Saccharomyces cerevisiae S288C: one gene and its partners. Changing the gene in region 1 together with any one later gene gives a genetic interaction. Each region holds a gene or a part of one and is shown on either strand. Other genes may lie near its edges.

What was found. A genetic interaction does not mean that the proteins touch.
Region 2: mutations in YTA7 (region 1) and DPB4 together harm fitness more than expected from each alone (negative genetic interaction), as found in Saccharomyces cerevisiae (2 studies listed by BioGRID).
Region 3: mutations in YTA7 (region 1) and SSN2 together harm fitness more than expected from each alone (negative genetic interaction), as found in Saccharomyces cerevisiae (3 studies listed by BioGRID).

The regions. Positions count from the first base shown.
Region 1 is NC_001139.9:1,025,351-1,032,022, forward strand, and holds YTA7 (chromatin segregase YTA7), read left to right. Parts: upstream 1-2,019; coding exon 2,020-6,159; downstream 6,160-6,672. Other genes in the region: FOL2 (GTP cyclohydrolase I), read right to left, coding at 1-385; HUA1 (Hua1p), read right to left, coding at 707-1,303; SLH1 (RNA helicase), read left to right, coding at 6,441-6,672. UniProt on the Saccharomyces cerevisiae protein: Functions as an ATP-dependent nucleosome disassembly factor that helps evict canonical histone H3 from the 5'-end of genes upon their induction.
Region 2 is NC_001136.10:691,744-694,716, reverse strand, and holds DPB4 (DNA polymerase epsilon noncatalytic subunit), read right to left. Parts: upstream 1,133-2,973; coding exon 542-1,132; downstream 1-541. Other genes in the region: serine/threonine protein kinase KIN1, read right to left, coding at 1-17; TRM1 (tRNA (guanine26-N2)-dimethyltransferase), read left to right, coding at 1,456-2,973. UniProt on the Saccharomyces cerevisiae protein: As accessory component of the DNA polymerase epsilon (DNA polymerase II) participates in chromosomal DNA replication.
Region 3 is NC_001136.10:1,345,135-1,351,778, reverse strand, and holds SSN2 (Ssn2p), read left to right. Parts: upstream 1-1,840; coding exon 1,841-6,103; downstream 6,104-6,644. Other genes in the region: YDR444W (putative hydrolase), read right to left, coding at 1-1,489. UniProt on the Saccharomyces cerevisiae protein: Component of the SRB8-11 complex. The SRB8-11 complex is a regulatory module of the Mediator complex which is itself involved in regulation of basal and activated RNA polymerase II-dependent transcription.

The DNA of each region.
Region 1 (6,672 bases):
AAATTTCAATATCACGAACAATAACCATTTCATCATGATCTTCTTCAAAGACAGCATTCTTAATGACATCGTCCATAATGTTCGTTTGGTAACCTTTAGTGAAATAAAGCATGGCTTTAGCGTATCTTTGTGGAGTATCTAGTAGACCTTCTCTGTTGACATCTTCACCCAGTTCGGTCAAAATTGTCTTGATAGCGCCTGAAATGCGTTGAATTCGTTCCTTTTCCTCCTCTTCAGTTTCCTCTGCACGTTGTCTTGTACCCACACTTGGCCAAGAAAACCCATCTCTCTCGACAGGAGGGTTTAAAGTGTATGGAGAGGTAGGTCTAATGTTTAACGGGGTTTCATGTCTTTCTATCTCTTGCACTAATTGGATGTTATGCATTTTGGGATGATTGAAAGTATTGGTTCTAACAAAAAATGAGTCACGCACGCACAATCACGATTGAGGATGGAGTCGTATAATATTTTATGAACGGATGCTATATCGATCAGACGGTTGGCACCGTAAAAATAAATGAAAGAAGTTAAAGAAGGGCAAATCAGTCGGATTATGTGATAAGTATGTAATAGACATGTTTGAAAATTAGGAGCATTAAAATATGCTTTTCATCCTACAGTTGTTCGGTCTTTTTTCTTTTCGGTGAGCGACACAGCTTTTCTACTAAGGCCGTACCGGGTCATCCAAATCCTAAATTTTCATGCGCTAATAGCGTTGAGGCTGGGTGATAATTCTGCCTACACCATGACAAAGAGGACATATATCTTCGTCCAACAGGAATCTGGTGCGTCCGGACCCTCTGCATTCACCACATAGCACGCCACCCAGGCGAGGATCCCCTGGTTGAACGTACAAGGGCCTATTACCCTGCCATGCGTTGGTGTACACGGGCATTGTATAGTTTGTGTAATATGTCGGTGCAGAAACAACGTTATTTTGAGGTGCAAACCTCCTCCAACACGACTTGCAAGATCGTCCATTCTTCAACTTGTAACCCGTATTTCCACACTTGGAACAGTAAAACCTGGGAGGGTATGTCCAGGGCAAGCTAGGATTCTGTTGTGGCCTCGGTGGAGGCCGTGGTTGGGAACTTGTAGGCGTATAAGAGTGTGAGTGAGCATATGTTTGGGATGAGGACGTTGCTGGCATTGTCGAGGGCCTTTGGTGGGGTCTTGATTGGTGCCCTTGCGCCAAGTTAGCTGCTGGTCTTGGTGGTCGTGGCGGTTGAGATTGCAATCTCTCCTCTTCCTTGATTACGTCCTCGTAGCTCGGCAGTTCATCATCATGCGTGTCTTTAGACATAACAGTATGGTTTATACTCGTTTTATGGGTATTTTTTGGGACTGCTTAGTTCTTGACTTGAAGCCTCTTTATTCCCTTGATGGAAGTGTCACTATTAAAGATGGAGGCGGAGGCTATACCGTAGAAAATGATATGTTTGTATGTTCTGCTCTCTTCCCTCTATTAAAAGGGGGAAAGAGAAAAATAAATGGAAAAAAGCGATTAAGCCATAGGGAAAACACTCTTGTGGTGGCAAAGCATCAGATAGGCAGGCAGGAGGAAATGGCAGTGAAGTGTCAAACCAAGCATACTTTCACTGGATTGATTTGAAAGTTAATGCTGAGTTTGAGATGTTTTAAAGAGGAACTGTGGTGATCGGTTATTTCTATTCGCTTTTGTGTGCGTCTTTTCATCGTTTGCAGCTGAACTTGTTGAGGCATTAGCCGCTGAGGAATTTTTTTCTGCCTCTATAAACTTGTTTATTATCACTAAAAACGTACCGTCTGTTATTTTGTACGGCCATGTGTGCGAAAAAGGACAAAGTGGTAGCGAAAGAGCAATATTGGGACGAAAAGGAGCAGAAAAGGAACTGCGTAGGGTCTTAAATAAAGCAAAACGTCTGAAGGATCTTGCGTACTCCTTACTAACCCATTGTTGTTTTCGACAGTCATAAAAAGAAGTTACCACGGTCTATTTCTCTCTTCTCGCTATTTATTCACAATTGGTGCAGAAAGAACATGGCACGAAATTTAAGGAATAGACGCGGTAGCGACGTTGAAGATGCAAGCAACGCAAAGGTTGGGTATGAAACACAGATTAAAGACGAAAATGGCATAATCCATACAACAACTCGCTCTTTGAGAAAAATAAACTACGCAGAAATTGAGAAAGTGTTTGATTTTTTGGAAGATGACCAGGTCATGGACAAAGATGAGACGCCCGTTGATGTTACTAGTGATGAACATCATAACAACAACCAGAAAGGCGATGATGAAGACGATGATGTTGATCTTGTATCACCGCACGAAAACGCCAGAACGAACGAAGAGCTTACTAATGAAAGGAACTTGAGAAAAAGAAAAGCGCATGATCCAGAAGAAGATGACGAAAGTTTTCATGAGGAAGATGTCGACGATGATGAAGAGGAGGAAGAAGCAGACGAATTTGAAGATGAGTATTTGGATGAAGACTCGAAGGATAACAACCGTCGGCGCAGAGCGGCCGATAGGAAATTTGTAGTACCAGACCCTGATGACGATGAAGAATACGATGAGGATGACGAAGAAGGAGACAGAATAAGCCATTCGGCTTCTTCTAAACGTTTGAAAAGGGCAAATTCTCGAAGAACAAGATCGTCACGTCACCCAGAAACTCCACCACCGGTAAGAAGAGCTTTAAGAAGTAGGACAAGACATTCGCGTACTTCAAATGAAGAAAATGACGATGAGAATGATAATAGCAGGAATGAAGCGTTAACTTTAGCTGATGAAATTAGAGAGTTACAGGAAGATAGTCCTATCAGGGAAAAAAGATTTCTTCGCGAAAGAACTAAGCCGGTAAATTACAAATTACCACCACCACTAACTGCTAGCAACGCAGAAGAATTTATAGATAAGAATAACAATGCACTTTCTTTTCATAACCCATCACCTGCACGGCGTGGTCGCGGTGGTTGGAATGCTAGTCAAAATTCTGGTCCCACAAGAAGGCTTTTTCCCACTGGTGGACCTTTTGGTGGCAATGACGTAACTACAATATTTGGTAAGAATACTAATTTTTACAACCAAGTCCCATCTGCATTCAGTGATAATAACAACAATAAATTAATACTGGATTCAGACTCTTCCGATGATGAGATATTACCTCTTGGCGTGACACCGAAAACAAAGAAAGAGAACACGCAAAAAAAGAAGAAGAAAAAACCAGAAATTGCAGACCTCGATCCATTAGGCGTAGACATGAATGTAAATTTTGACGATATAGGTGGTTTAGACAACTACATTGACCAATTAAAGGAAATGGTGGCCTTACCACTATTATACCCAGAATTGTATCAAAATTTTAATATCACGCCCCCAAGGGGTGTTCTTTTCCATGGTCCTCCTGGTACGGGTAAAACACTTATGGCAAGAGCGTTAGCAGCAAGTTGTTCTTCTGATGAAAGGAAGATCACATTTTTTATGCGTAAAGGTGCAGATATTTTATCCAAGTGGGTTGGTGAAGCTGAAAGACAACTCCGTTTGTTATTCGAAGAAGCTAAAAAACATCAACCTTCCATCATTTTTTTTGATGAAATCGACGGATTAGCGCCTGTGAGAAGTTCCAAACAAGAACAGATCCATGCTAGTATTGTTTCCACATTATTAGCGCTGATGGATGGTATGGACAATAGAGGCCAAGTCATTGTCATCGGAGCCACAAATCGACCCGATGCAGTGGATCCCGCATTAAGAAGGCCGGGAAGATTTGATAGAGAATTTTATTTTCCATTACCTGATGTTAAAGCACGTTTTAAAATTTTGCAAATTCAGACCAGGAAATGGAGTTCACCGTTGTCAACCAACTTCATTGATAAATTGGCTTTTTTGACCAAAGGATATGGTGGTGCTGATCTGAGGTCCCTATGCACTGAGGCTGCACTAATAAGTATACAAAGAAGCTTTCCTCAAATTTATAGGTCAAATGATAAACTCTTGGTGGACCCTTCTAAGATTAAAGTCAAAGTTAGCGATTTCATGTTAGCTTTGAAAAAAATTGTTCCGTCATCTGCGAGATCTACTGGTAGTTCTCCTCAGCCACTACCTGAATTAATCAAACCATTACTGGCAGATCAACTTAATAATTTAAAGAACAAGCTGGATTATATGCTGAACATTAAAGACACAACTTTTCAGAGAAACACATCATTGCTACAAAATTTCATCGATTATGAAGAATACAGTGGAGAGGAAGAAGAGCATGACAAATATGGAGGAAATGAAGATACATCCAGTTTTAGATCATATGAGTTTTTCGAATCGATGGCGGAATCACAAATTTGTAAACCTCGGTTATTAATAAATGGGCCCAAGGGAAATGGTCAACAATATGTCGGAGCCGCAATTTTAAATTATTTAGAAGAATTCAACGTCCAAAACCTGGACCTTGCCTCTTTGGTTTCGGAAAGTTCTAGGACTATTGAAGCTGCTGTAGTGCAAAGTTTTATGGAAGCAAAGAAAAGACAGCCCTCAGTTGTATTTATTCCTAATTTAGACATTTGGATCAACACTATTCCAGAAAACGTTATTTTAGTCTTATCAGGTTTGTTCAGATCTTTACAAAGCAATGAAAAAATTCTTCTATTATGCTTAGCTGAAAATCTTGATATATCTGAAGTTAAAAATGGTATTTTATCTGATTTTGCTTTTGATAAAAATATCTTTCAACTGCATAAACCATCCAAAGAGAATATAACGAGGTATTTTTCTAATTTAATTGAACTACTGAAAACAAAGCCAAGTGATATTCCCATGAAAAAGAGAAGAGTCAAACCGTTACCTGAATTACAAAAAGTAACTTCAAACGCAGCTCCAACAAATTTTGATGAAAATGGTGAGCCACTGTCTGAAAAAGTGGTATTAAGAAGGAAGTTGAAATCTTTTCAACACCAAGATATGAGATTGAAAAATGTGTTAAAAATCAAACTCTCAGGCTTGATGGATCTTTTTAAAAACAGATATAAAAGGTTTAGAAAACCACCTATTGATGATGCCTTCTTGGTTCATCTTTTCGAACCAGAGACAAGCAATGATCCCAATTGGCAACCTGCATATATAAAAGATGAGAACATGATTCTGGAGGTTTCAACAGGGCGAAAGTTTTTTAACATGGATTTGGATATTGTCGAAGAGAGACTTTGGAATGGCTATTACTCAGAACCAAAACAGTTTTTAAAAGACATTGAACTGATATACAGGGATGCAAATACCATTGGGGACAGAGAACGTGTCATTAAGGCCTCTGAGATGTTTGCCAACGCGCAAATGGGTATCGAAGAAATTTCAACCCCGGATTTTATTCAAGAGTGTAAAGCTACTCGCCAAAGGGATTTGGAAAGGCAGGAACTTTTCTTAGAAGATGAAGAGAAAAGAGCTGCAATGGAATTAGAAGCCAAAGAACAGAGTCAAGAAAATATACTGCAAGAACCTGATTTAAAGGATAACAAGGCTAATGAGTTTGGTGTAGCTGCTGGTAATCAATTGCAAGCTCAGCTGCAAACAACTATCAATACAGCCTCTATCGTTAATAACAGCGAGGTCCCTCAACCAATTGATACCAACCTGTATAAAAAGGAGATTCCTGCGGCAATTCCCTCTGCAGTAGATAAAGAAAAAGCGGTCATCCCTGAGGATAGCGGTGCAAATGAAGAATACACAACGGAACTGATACAGGCCACTTGCACGTCAGAGATAACCACCGATGATGATGAAAGGGCCAGAAAAGAACCAAAAGAGAATGAAGACTCTTTGCAAACGCAGGTTACGGAAGAAAACTTCAGCAAAATAGACGCTAATACTAATAATATAAATCACGTAAAGGAAATTCAATCGGTTAACAAACCAAATTCCCTCCACGAAACGGTAGAAAAAAGGGAACGAAGTCCGATACCAAAAGAGGTTGTGGAACCGGAGCAAGGGAAGAAGAGCGACAAGGAGCTTATTTTGACGCCCGAACAAATAAAAAAAGTATCTGCATGCTTAATCGAACACTGTCAGAATTTTACGGTTTCTCAATTAGAAGATGTTCATTCGTCCGTTGCAAAAATAATATGGAAAAGTAAATCAGCATGGGATAAAACAGGAACTGTCGATGAAATAATAAAATTTTTATCTGAATAAGCAGGAGTCCATAATGTTTATATAATTCTTAAATGTAGTTAGTTCATATACATGAATGTGCACTTTTCTTGAAAAGAAATAGATTTAAAACCACACCTTGTATATATATTATGCTTTTTTCCACTACTTTATTTTAACAGTCACTGTTCTGGCATACGTTTCGGGTAATGACCGAGAATGGAATATGTATTGAACATATTGAAATTAAACATGTTCATAATATCTTCTAACACCATTGGAATTGTGAGAAGTAGATCCGTACCATCAATAGCCGGCTCAAGATGTCAACTGAATACTCTGCTGATTCATCTAAATCATTTATGATTGCAATGCAATCTATGATTGATACTTCACAAACCTTTAATCTAGATAGATCGAAAATCTCTTTACCAGATTTTGATGACGAGCTAAAAAAAGTCCAAAAGGATGAACAAAATCAAAGAACTGAACTAACTGTTCTCTCACAAGATAGAAATGATTGGGATGATATATTTGAGGAGTTTAAAGACATTT
Region 2 (2,973 bases), on another chromosome or scaffold:
ACGTGATAATCATCCATATTCTACGTGAGCAAAAAGTAATCGTAATAAACTGTACCTGTTTAAAAGAAGTTGAAAAAAAAAATGCGTAATAGCCCAAAATCCCTAGTATATTCAGTTGCTCTAATCGGAGCAAAGATGTTTGAATTTTACTAATCAATAGTTGGAAAATGAAAGACCGATAGGGTAGGGGGGCGAAGGGTGACAACTAATTATGTTAACTAGCCTAGGTTACCGTATGTCCTTATAATAACGAAGTAAATCTCAAAAAATTTCAAATCACAAAGTGGCTCTAACTAAACCTGCTTGATATCGTATCTCGCTAATACACTTCCTCAACGCCATAATTTCTTGTTAACGTTCCACCAATATCAACTTCTTGTCCCCTTTCTTTCCTTCCGCATTGGCGCCGCGTTGGGTTCCCCGGCTTGCAAATAACGACGATGAGTATAGCTTATTATGTATGTAGGTAATAAAGGCAAGTTACATACTACGATCCTGTGGGAGTGGTGGCAAGCACTACTAGACAGTTTCCATAGCGGGGTTACGTTTGCTCAAGGTTTTGAACTCTAGTTTCTACATCTTGGCTCTCCGTTTTCTGTTTCTTTTCGGAGGACTCTTCTACGTCCTGTAATGCATCGCCTTGTTCTTCTATTTCGTCATGCTCTTTAACCTTTTCCACGGGCACATTCTCCTTATCTTCACCCATATCTATATCGCCATCAGCATCTACTTCACCACTATCTAGTTTTTCCTTCTTCCTCTGTTCAACAGCAGCTTGGTATTCATCTAGTTTATCTCTAACCGGACCCTTCAATGCCGAGTGTCCTATATGGTCCAAAGCACTCAGAACATCATCTACACTGCAGCTTTTTTTATCTTGACTCTTTGCAATTTCCCTTGCAAACAGGAGCAAGTGGTTAACAAATACTGTAGCACCACGCTGTAACGCTAGTGATGCGTCTTTATTTATCAGCAGCTTTTTGCCGCTTTGCTGTGGCACTTCGCGTGCCAAATTCACAATAGTGCTTTTAGGAAATAACAGGTCCTGAATCGTAATGTTCTCTTGTTCTTTAATATACGAAGTAGTGGGGTAATTCCCTTGGGCGTCTTTTCTCCAACCTTTTGGTGGCATCGTGTGTAAAAATATATGGTCTGATATAAATAAGCAATGAAAGGCTTGACTTCTATTTCAAAGTATTAAATAATTAAAAAAATCCTTCCTTTCACCTAAAACCTCTAGGTAATATTCTGTGGCTTCTGCTATTGTGCCGCTATGAATAACAATTTTAAGCTCTGATGATCGAATCTGGTTTTTAACGTTATTCCAATTTGAGCCTTTCTTTATTCGTCCAAAGGGATAAAGCATTATTTTTTTTTCATCGCATTCAATGCTCATCGCAAAGTTACAGATCCTGAGCAGTCATAAGTTGATACCTTTCCTCTTACAATGTAGATATGGAAGGTTTCTTCAGGATACCCCTCAAGCGGGCAAATTTACACGGAATGTTGAAGGCTGCTATATCCAAAATTAAAGCGAATTTTACCGCGTATGGTGCACCAAGAATCAATATTGAGGATTTCAATATAGTCAAGGAAGGAAAAGCAGAAATTCTTTTCCCTAAAAAGGAAACTGTTTTCTATAATCCCATCCAACAATTTAATAGAGATCTAAGTGTTACATGCATCAAGGCGTGGGACAACCTATATGGTGAGGAATGTGGCCAAAAGAGAAATAATAAAAAAAGTAAGAAGAAAAGGTGCGCGGAAACTAACGATGATTCTTCCAAGCGTCAAAAAATGGGAAACGGGTCACCAAAAGAAGCCGTTGGTAATTCTAATCGAAACGAACCTTATATAAATATTTTGGAAGCATTGTCAGCCACTGGGTTAAGAGCCATTAGGTATGCTCATGAAATTCCCCATGTGAGGGAAGTTATTGCTAACGATTTACTTCCAGAGGCTGTCGAATCTATAAAACGAAACGTTGAATATAATAGTGTCGAAAACATTGTCAAGCCAAACCTTGATGATGCTAATGTCTTAATGTACCGTAACAAAGCGACGAATAATAAGTTTCACGTCATCGACTTGGATCCTTACGGTACCGTTACACCTTTTGTAGATGCGGCTATTCAGAGTATTGAGGAGGGTGGTCTAATGCTGGTAACTTGCACTGATTTATCCGTTTTGGCCGGTAACGGATACCCAGAAAAGTGTTTTGCCTTATATGGTGGTGCAAATATGGTTTCTCATGAATCAACTCACGAAAGTGCGCTGAGACTAGTATTGAACTTACTAAAGCAAACTGCCGCGAAATACAAGAAAACTGTGGAACCGCTTTTGTCGTTGAGCATTGACTTTTACGTCAGAGTTTTTGTCAAAGTCAAAACAAGCCCGATTGAAGTCAAAAACGTTATGTCAAGTACTATGACTACTTACCATTGTTCCCGTTGCGGCTCTTACCACAATCAACCTCTGGGCAGAATTTCTCAACGCGAAGGTAGGAACAACAAAACATTCACCAAATACTCGGTTGCGCAAGGGCCTCCGGTTGATACTAAATGTAAGTTCTGCGAGGGGACATACCATTTAGCTGGTCCAATGTATGCAGGACCTCTACACAACAAGGAGTTCATCGAGGAGGTGTTGAGAATTAATAAAGAAGAGCATCGTGACCAGGATGATACATATGGAACACGTAAAAGAATTGAAGGTATGCTATCTCTAGCTAAGAATGAATTATCCGATTCGCCATTCTATTTCAGTCCTAACCATATTGCATCGGTAATAAAATTACAAGTACCTCCCTTGAAAAAAGTAGTCGCAGGCCTAGGTTCCCTAGGCTTTGAATGTTCATTGACACATGCCCAACCATCGTCCCTAAAGACTAACGCTCCATGGGATGCAATCTGGTATGTGATGCAGAAATGTGATGATGAGAAGAAAGACTTAAGCAAAATGAATCCAAATACT
Region 3 (6,644 bases), on another chromosome or scaffold:
TCTTATATTTATTTATTTTACTTCCGTGGATAACGGCCTGAGGTAAAGTCCACTGCAACGTCGCTTTTTTGTTTGGACTTTCTGCAGGAATCTCCCCGACGTTGTTACCATTTTCGTTTGAAGGTGATGATGCTCCACTACTCTCTGGGCTATCGGAGGACACAAACTCGCTTGAAGTTGGAGAGTTCTTATTTTTTTTCCTAATTTTCTGGACTTTGTGTATGCTTCGCCAATCCAGATACAAAAGTGCAGCAGTTCGTAATGGAACAATACCATCATCCATGACATTGGCATATATCGTTCTCCTCTTAAAAGACTCAAATACTTTTTTAGCCGGCGCCTGTGGAAGAATTTCTAATATGTACTTGGAATGTTCTGGGTACACTTCATCGTCTGCATACAACCCATCTTTGGACGTTAACGGTGTATATTTTAAATTCAAGTCCCTTCCTGTCAAACCAAGCGCGCCCATATCCAGTGGAACAGACAAATAAAAGGGGAAGTCGCCAATAACACCGATGAAAGGACTAGCTAACGTAATAAAATTAACGGGTTTAACACCTTTAACTGCATCAAAAAAATCTGGTCTTTTAATACTTATGTAACGCACCGCCATGGATTGAGTTGGCCCTCCTAGGGAATGGCCAATGAATGATATCCTGTCTACTTTGTACTTTTTATTCAACTTATCAACAGTCTCAAGCACATACTTTCCAACTCTAACGCCCAAGCAATGTATACCGTGACCTGATTTCCCGACGTTGCCCATAAAACCTCGAACAATTATATTCGGATTAATAGACTCATCCATAGGAAACGTCATTTCTTCAATTTTATCTTTCATATATAGCATATCACACCCGATATTAGAAAATATACCATGTGTCATAATAACGAGATGTACAGGCTTTTCTGGAAATTTTGGTGGTAAATCCCAAAGGGTTTCAGTATCCCACATCTCTAAAGAGACACCTTCAATACTCTTAAAGAGCCCATTCGATTTCTTGACCACCTTCCTTGTAGTCCCTATCCTAAACGAAAATTCCAGCTTCGGAATTGTGGTTACCGCCAACTGCGAAATTATATCTATTGTCCATGAATAAAGAGAAGTGTCGCCAACTCTAGAATTCTCATTCAATAATATTTTTACTTTAAATCTTTCGTCCGGCTTTAGATTTTCAACAAATGGAATAATTTCCTTCCCTGGAAACTTGCGATTCTCATTATAGTTATGCGGCCTAACATCGATGTAAAAAGAATATGGCCCCGTCAAATAAAGCGGTCGCAGAAGCGCGCTTTCCTCGTTCTTGATCCTCAAGAATAGATGCGATACATCTAGCCCTTGTTCCTTAATTACATCTTTGTTCACGGAAAACTTGTAGCGATATAACTCACCTATTCTTAATCTCTTCCGCTCATCAACCAATAAGGTACCTCCGGTTTCATTTATCTCGAGCGAATTTTTCATTCGGTTGATTTTGTAAGGCATTAAGGGATCGAACCAAAATGGAGCAATTCTTTTATAATAAGAAGATGAATAACAGCCGAGTAAGTGATTCTCCTCCGCATTTCCTGCTGTTCATTGTTTTATCATACTGAATAAACAATCCTTAGAAAATAGCATCGATATATTCGCGCTTAACAAAGCGAAGAATTGAAACATTTTTTCAGGTGGAGGGACCGGGTAGTGCCGGATCAAGTAGTGTAGTATTTATTGTAGTACACTCTTACAACAACCCTTTAAGACGAATGGTGTGAAATCGGAAATTACTTTGTTGAAGTAAGGTGTAACTATATTTTAAGAACGTTTAAGCTGGATATCAAGATCTGAGGAGGTAGTATGAGTTCTGACGCTTCCACGTACAGACTTGAGGATGTTTTATCCAGCTTCTATAGAGTGGAGAAAATCAAAAAGATCAACTATCATCAGTACATTTCTAAAGCCCAAAACGATCAATGGTCTATCCAAATGGAATTCATGCTACGGAAGCAGGATCCAAAGACTCTAGTTGCGCTGCTTTCAAGGGATTTATGGTGTTTCAGTATAAATGATGATCCGGTACCGACACCTCCTGCGATAGAACATAAACCAGTGAGCCCAGATAAAATCGGAACTTTCACTGCCGATTATTCAAAGCCAAACTTACCGCCACACTATGCTCTTTTTTTAAAAGCTTTAAGAAGGAAAATTTACATTAATTTGGCATTAGGTTCACACAATAAGCTAATACAATTTGGGAATGCCTGCATATCATTAAGCGGAGTGCCAAATTATCTCGTACAGCTAGAACCACACCTTTTTGTAAACGGAGATCTCACAGTGTCGTTATGTGCCAAGAACATGGGATTAGTACCAATGAAGGAGGAAAATTTGGAAGAATCTTTCCTTTCAAAGCATGCGCTTTATTTAGCACCATCTGGAATAAGGATGCATTTGGCCCCTGCTTCCAAGCAAGGATACTTGATAACGCCACCAAAACATACAGAACTTCTCTTGACGACGTTAAGTGTATCTCATGGTATAAACTTACAAAATAAAAAAAATTTGAAATGGGTTGCTGTTGTTCCTGACTTAGGACATCTCAACGGCCACACACCTACTATAGCTTCGTATTTAACTCCCTTACTTGAAGCAAAGAAGCTAGTATGGCCGCTGCATTTAATCTTCGCCCAACCAGTAGCTGATATAGAAAATTCTACTTCCGGAGATCCATCAGAATTTCACTGTTTGCAAGATGCTCTGGATGCCATTGATGATTTCATACAATTAAAGCAAACAGCTGCCTATAGGACTCCAGGAAGTTCCGGCGTATTGAGCAGTAATATTGCTGGTACAAATCCCTTAAGCTCAGATGGAGCATATACAGAACAGTTTCAACATTATAAGAACAACTCAATTAGTTCTCAACCCGCTTCTTATCATTCTGTCCAAGAAACTAATAAGATATCTCCGAAAGATTTCTCCCCTAATTTCACAGGCATTGATAAATTAATGCTGTCGCCCAGCGATCAATTTGCTCCAGCTTTCTTAAATACCCCTAATAATAACATCAATGAGAATGAATTATTTAATGATAGGAAACAAACTACAGTATCAAATGACTTAGAGAACAGCCCACTGAAAACGGAACTGGAGGCAAATGGTAGATCACTCGAAAAGGTAAATAATTCCGTGAGCAAGACAGGAAGCGTAGACACACTTCATAATAAAGAGGGAACACTGGAACAACGAGAACAGAACGAAAATCTGCCAAGTGATAAAAGTGACTCTATGGTAGACAAGGAATTGTTTGGTGAGGATGAGGATGAGGATTTATTTGGCGATAGCAATAAATCGAATTCTACAAACGAATCGAACAAAAGTATATCGGACGAAATTACCGAGGATATGTTCGAAATGTCTGATGAAGAAGAAAATAATAACAATAAAAGCATTAATAAAAATAACAAGGAAATGCATACTGATCTTGGTAAAGATATTCCATTTTTTCCCTCATCTGAAAAACCGAATATCCGTACGATGAGCGGAACTACAAAAAGATTAAATGGAAAGAGGAAATATTTGGATATTCCGATAGATGAAATGACCTTGCCAACGAGTCCATTATATATGGACCCAGGTGCGCCACTCCCTGTGGAAACACCCCGCGATAGACGCAAAAGTGTGTTCGCTCCACTGAATTTTAACCCCATAATAGAAAACAATGTTGATAACAAATACAAATCTGGAGGGAAATTTTCCTTCAGTCCGTTGCAAAAGGAGGAAGCATTAAACTTTGATATTTCTATGGCGGATCTTTCTAGCTCTGAAGAGGAAGAGGATGAAGAAGAGAACGGTAGCAGCGATGAGGATCTAAAGTCATTGAACGTACGCGACGACATGAAACCTTCTGATAACATCAGTACTAATACTAATATTCATGAGCCTCAATACATAAATTACTCTTCGATCCCAAGTCTACAAGACTCTATTATAAAGCAAGAAAATTTCAATTCAGTAAACGATGCTAATATCACTAGCAATAAGGAAGGCTTCAACTCTATTTGGAAAATTCCTCAAAATGATATACCACAGACCGAGTCACCACTGAAGACCGTTGATTCATCTATTCAACCCATAGAATCCAATATAAAGATGACCTTGGAAGATAATAATGTTACCAGTAATCCGTCCGAATTTACGCCGAATATGGTAAATTCTGAAATTTCTAACCTACCAAAAGACAAGAGTGGTATCCCCGAATTCACACCGGCGGACCCCAATTTATCTTTTGAATCATCAAGTAGTCTACCGTTTCTATTGAGACACATGCCGCTAGCATCTATACCGGACATTTTCATCACGCCTACTCCCGTTGTTACAATTTCAGAAAAAGAACAAGACATCTTAGATTTAATTGCAGAACAAGTCGTCACTGATTATAATATCTTAGGAAACCTCGGTATTCCAAAGATCGCCTATAGGGGAGTTAAAGATTGCCAAGAAGGTTTAATAACAACCACAATGTTACAGTTATTTTCCACTTTCGATAGATTAAATGGCAATGATACGATCTCCAAATTCTATAACATGAAGCAGCCGTACGTTTTTGTAAAGAAACATCACGAACTAATCAAAGTCAAACACGACTCTCAGCCATTTATTAAGTTCCTCAATTTTCGCCCTCCAAATGGAATAAAAAACTTCAAATCCTTATTATTAAGTTCATCTTTCAAAGAAGATTGTCTGTCATTTGCGCCAACTCTATCTCAAACATATATTAATCAAGAGTTAGGGTTTTGTGAGTTGCTTAAACTAACTAATGAAGACCCGCCCGGACTGATGTACTTGAAGGCATTTGATAAAAACAAGTTACTGTTGTTAGCTGCGCAGATTGTTTCATACTGTTCTAATAATAAGAACTCCATCAAAAACGTGCCACCAATATTAATAATTTTACCCTTGGATAATGCAACTCTGACTGAATTAGTAGACAAGGCGAATATTTTTCAGGTGATCAAGAACGAAGTTTGTGCCAAGATGCCTAACATTGAACTATATTTGAAAGTTATTCCTATGGATTTCATTAGAAACGTACTGGTGACAGTGGATCAGTACGTCAACGTAGCAATTTCTATATATAACATGCTGCCGCCAAAATCTGTAAAGTTCACCCACATTGCGCATACGCTGCCGGAGAAAGTGAATTTCAGAACCATGCAGCAACAGCAAATGCAACAGCAACAGCAACAGCAACAGCAGCAGCAGAATAACAGTACAGGATCATCTTCTATAATATATTATGACTCGTACATCCACCTGGCATACTCGCGTAGTGTAGATAAAGAGTGGGTTTTTGCAGCTCTTTCAGATAGCTATGGACAAGGCAGCATGACGAAAACGTGGTACGTCGGGAATTCCAGAGGAAAATTTGACGACGCATGTAATCAAATATGGAATATCGCCCTAAATTTAGCGTCTAAAAAATTCGGAAAAATATGTCTAATTTTAACTAGATTGAATGGCATACTGCCGGATGATGAATTGATGAATTGGAGGAGACTTTCTGGTAGGAATATACATCTTGCTGTGGTGTGTGTGGATGACAACTCTAAAATCTCCTTCATAGATGAGGACAAATTGTACCCTAGTTTCAAGCCGATCTACAAAGACACTAGGTTTGGAGGACGCATGGATATGACCAGATTATACGACTATGAAATAAGGGATATAGACCAGGACATCCATGGAATAGTATTTCAGCACCCGTTCCCACTGGCACACTCACAGCATCGCTGTGCTATTAGGAGTGGTGCTTTGATCAAATTCAAAAAATGCGACGGTGATACGGTTTGGGACAAATTCGCAGTCAACCTTTTAAACTGTCCACATTCTGATAGTACACAATTGCTGGAAACCATCTTAGAAGAGTTTCGCAACCTGGCTGCTCTAAACGTGTGGTACGGTCTCTCTGATGGCGAAGATGGCCATATTCCATGGCATATCCTAGCCGTGAAAAAAATGATGAACACTCTTGTGCACACCAGAGTAAAAATTGCTAATACTTCCGCCGCTACTGTGCATACCGCTACTTCTTCATCAATTATTCTCTCGGATAAATAAACTTTTTCCGGCAACGTTTTCCTGCTCATCTGTAGCCCTATTTACCAGTTTTGGTTTTAGTATTATTCCGGGGTGTAAACCCAGAAGTCTATTTCTCCAGTCGGATTTATAAAAACAAAACCGGAAGCGGGGCGGTACGGCATTTTCACTGGTGATGCACGCCCAGCGTGTAGTCCGAGACAATTTCCACAGAACGCGAATGAGATTGCGTTTAAGGCTGTATTTTCAAGGCACACGAAGCGGCCACGTGGGTCTGCGATGGTGTGTTGATGATGTCAAGAATGGTATCATACTCCGTATAAGGTTATGTAATCGGAAGTCGCGATTCTTTTTCAATTTTTTCTTTTTATTTTTTTCCAGTTTTTTCGTCTCTGCGATGGAAAATTGTTGAAGTTCTCTTGATTAGCAAGTAGTTCTTACATCGCAGGAATCTTATGTTGCATAGCTCAATTTACAAAAATAACAAGGATAAATATATATATATACGCATATACTTTTTGGGTGTTAAAGTAAATTTTGCACCCGTTCATACCAATCGTTC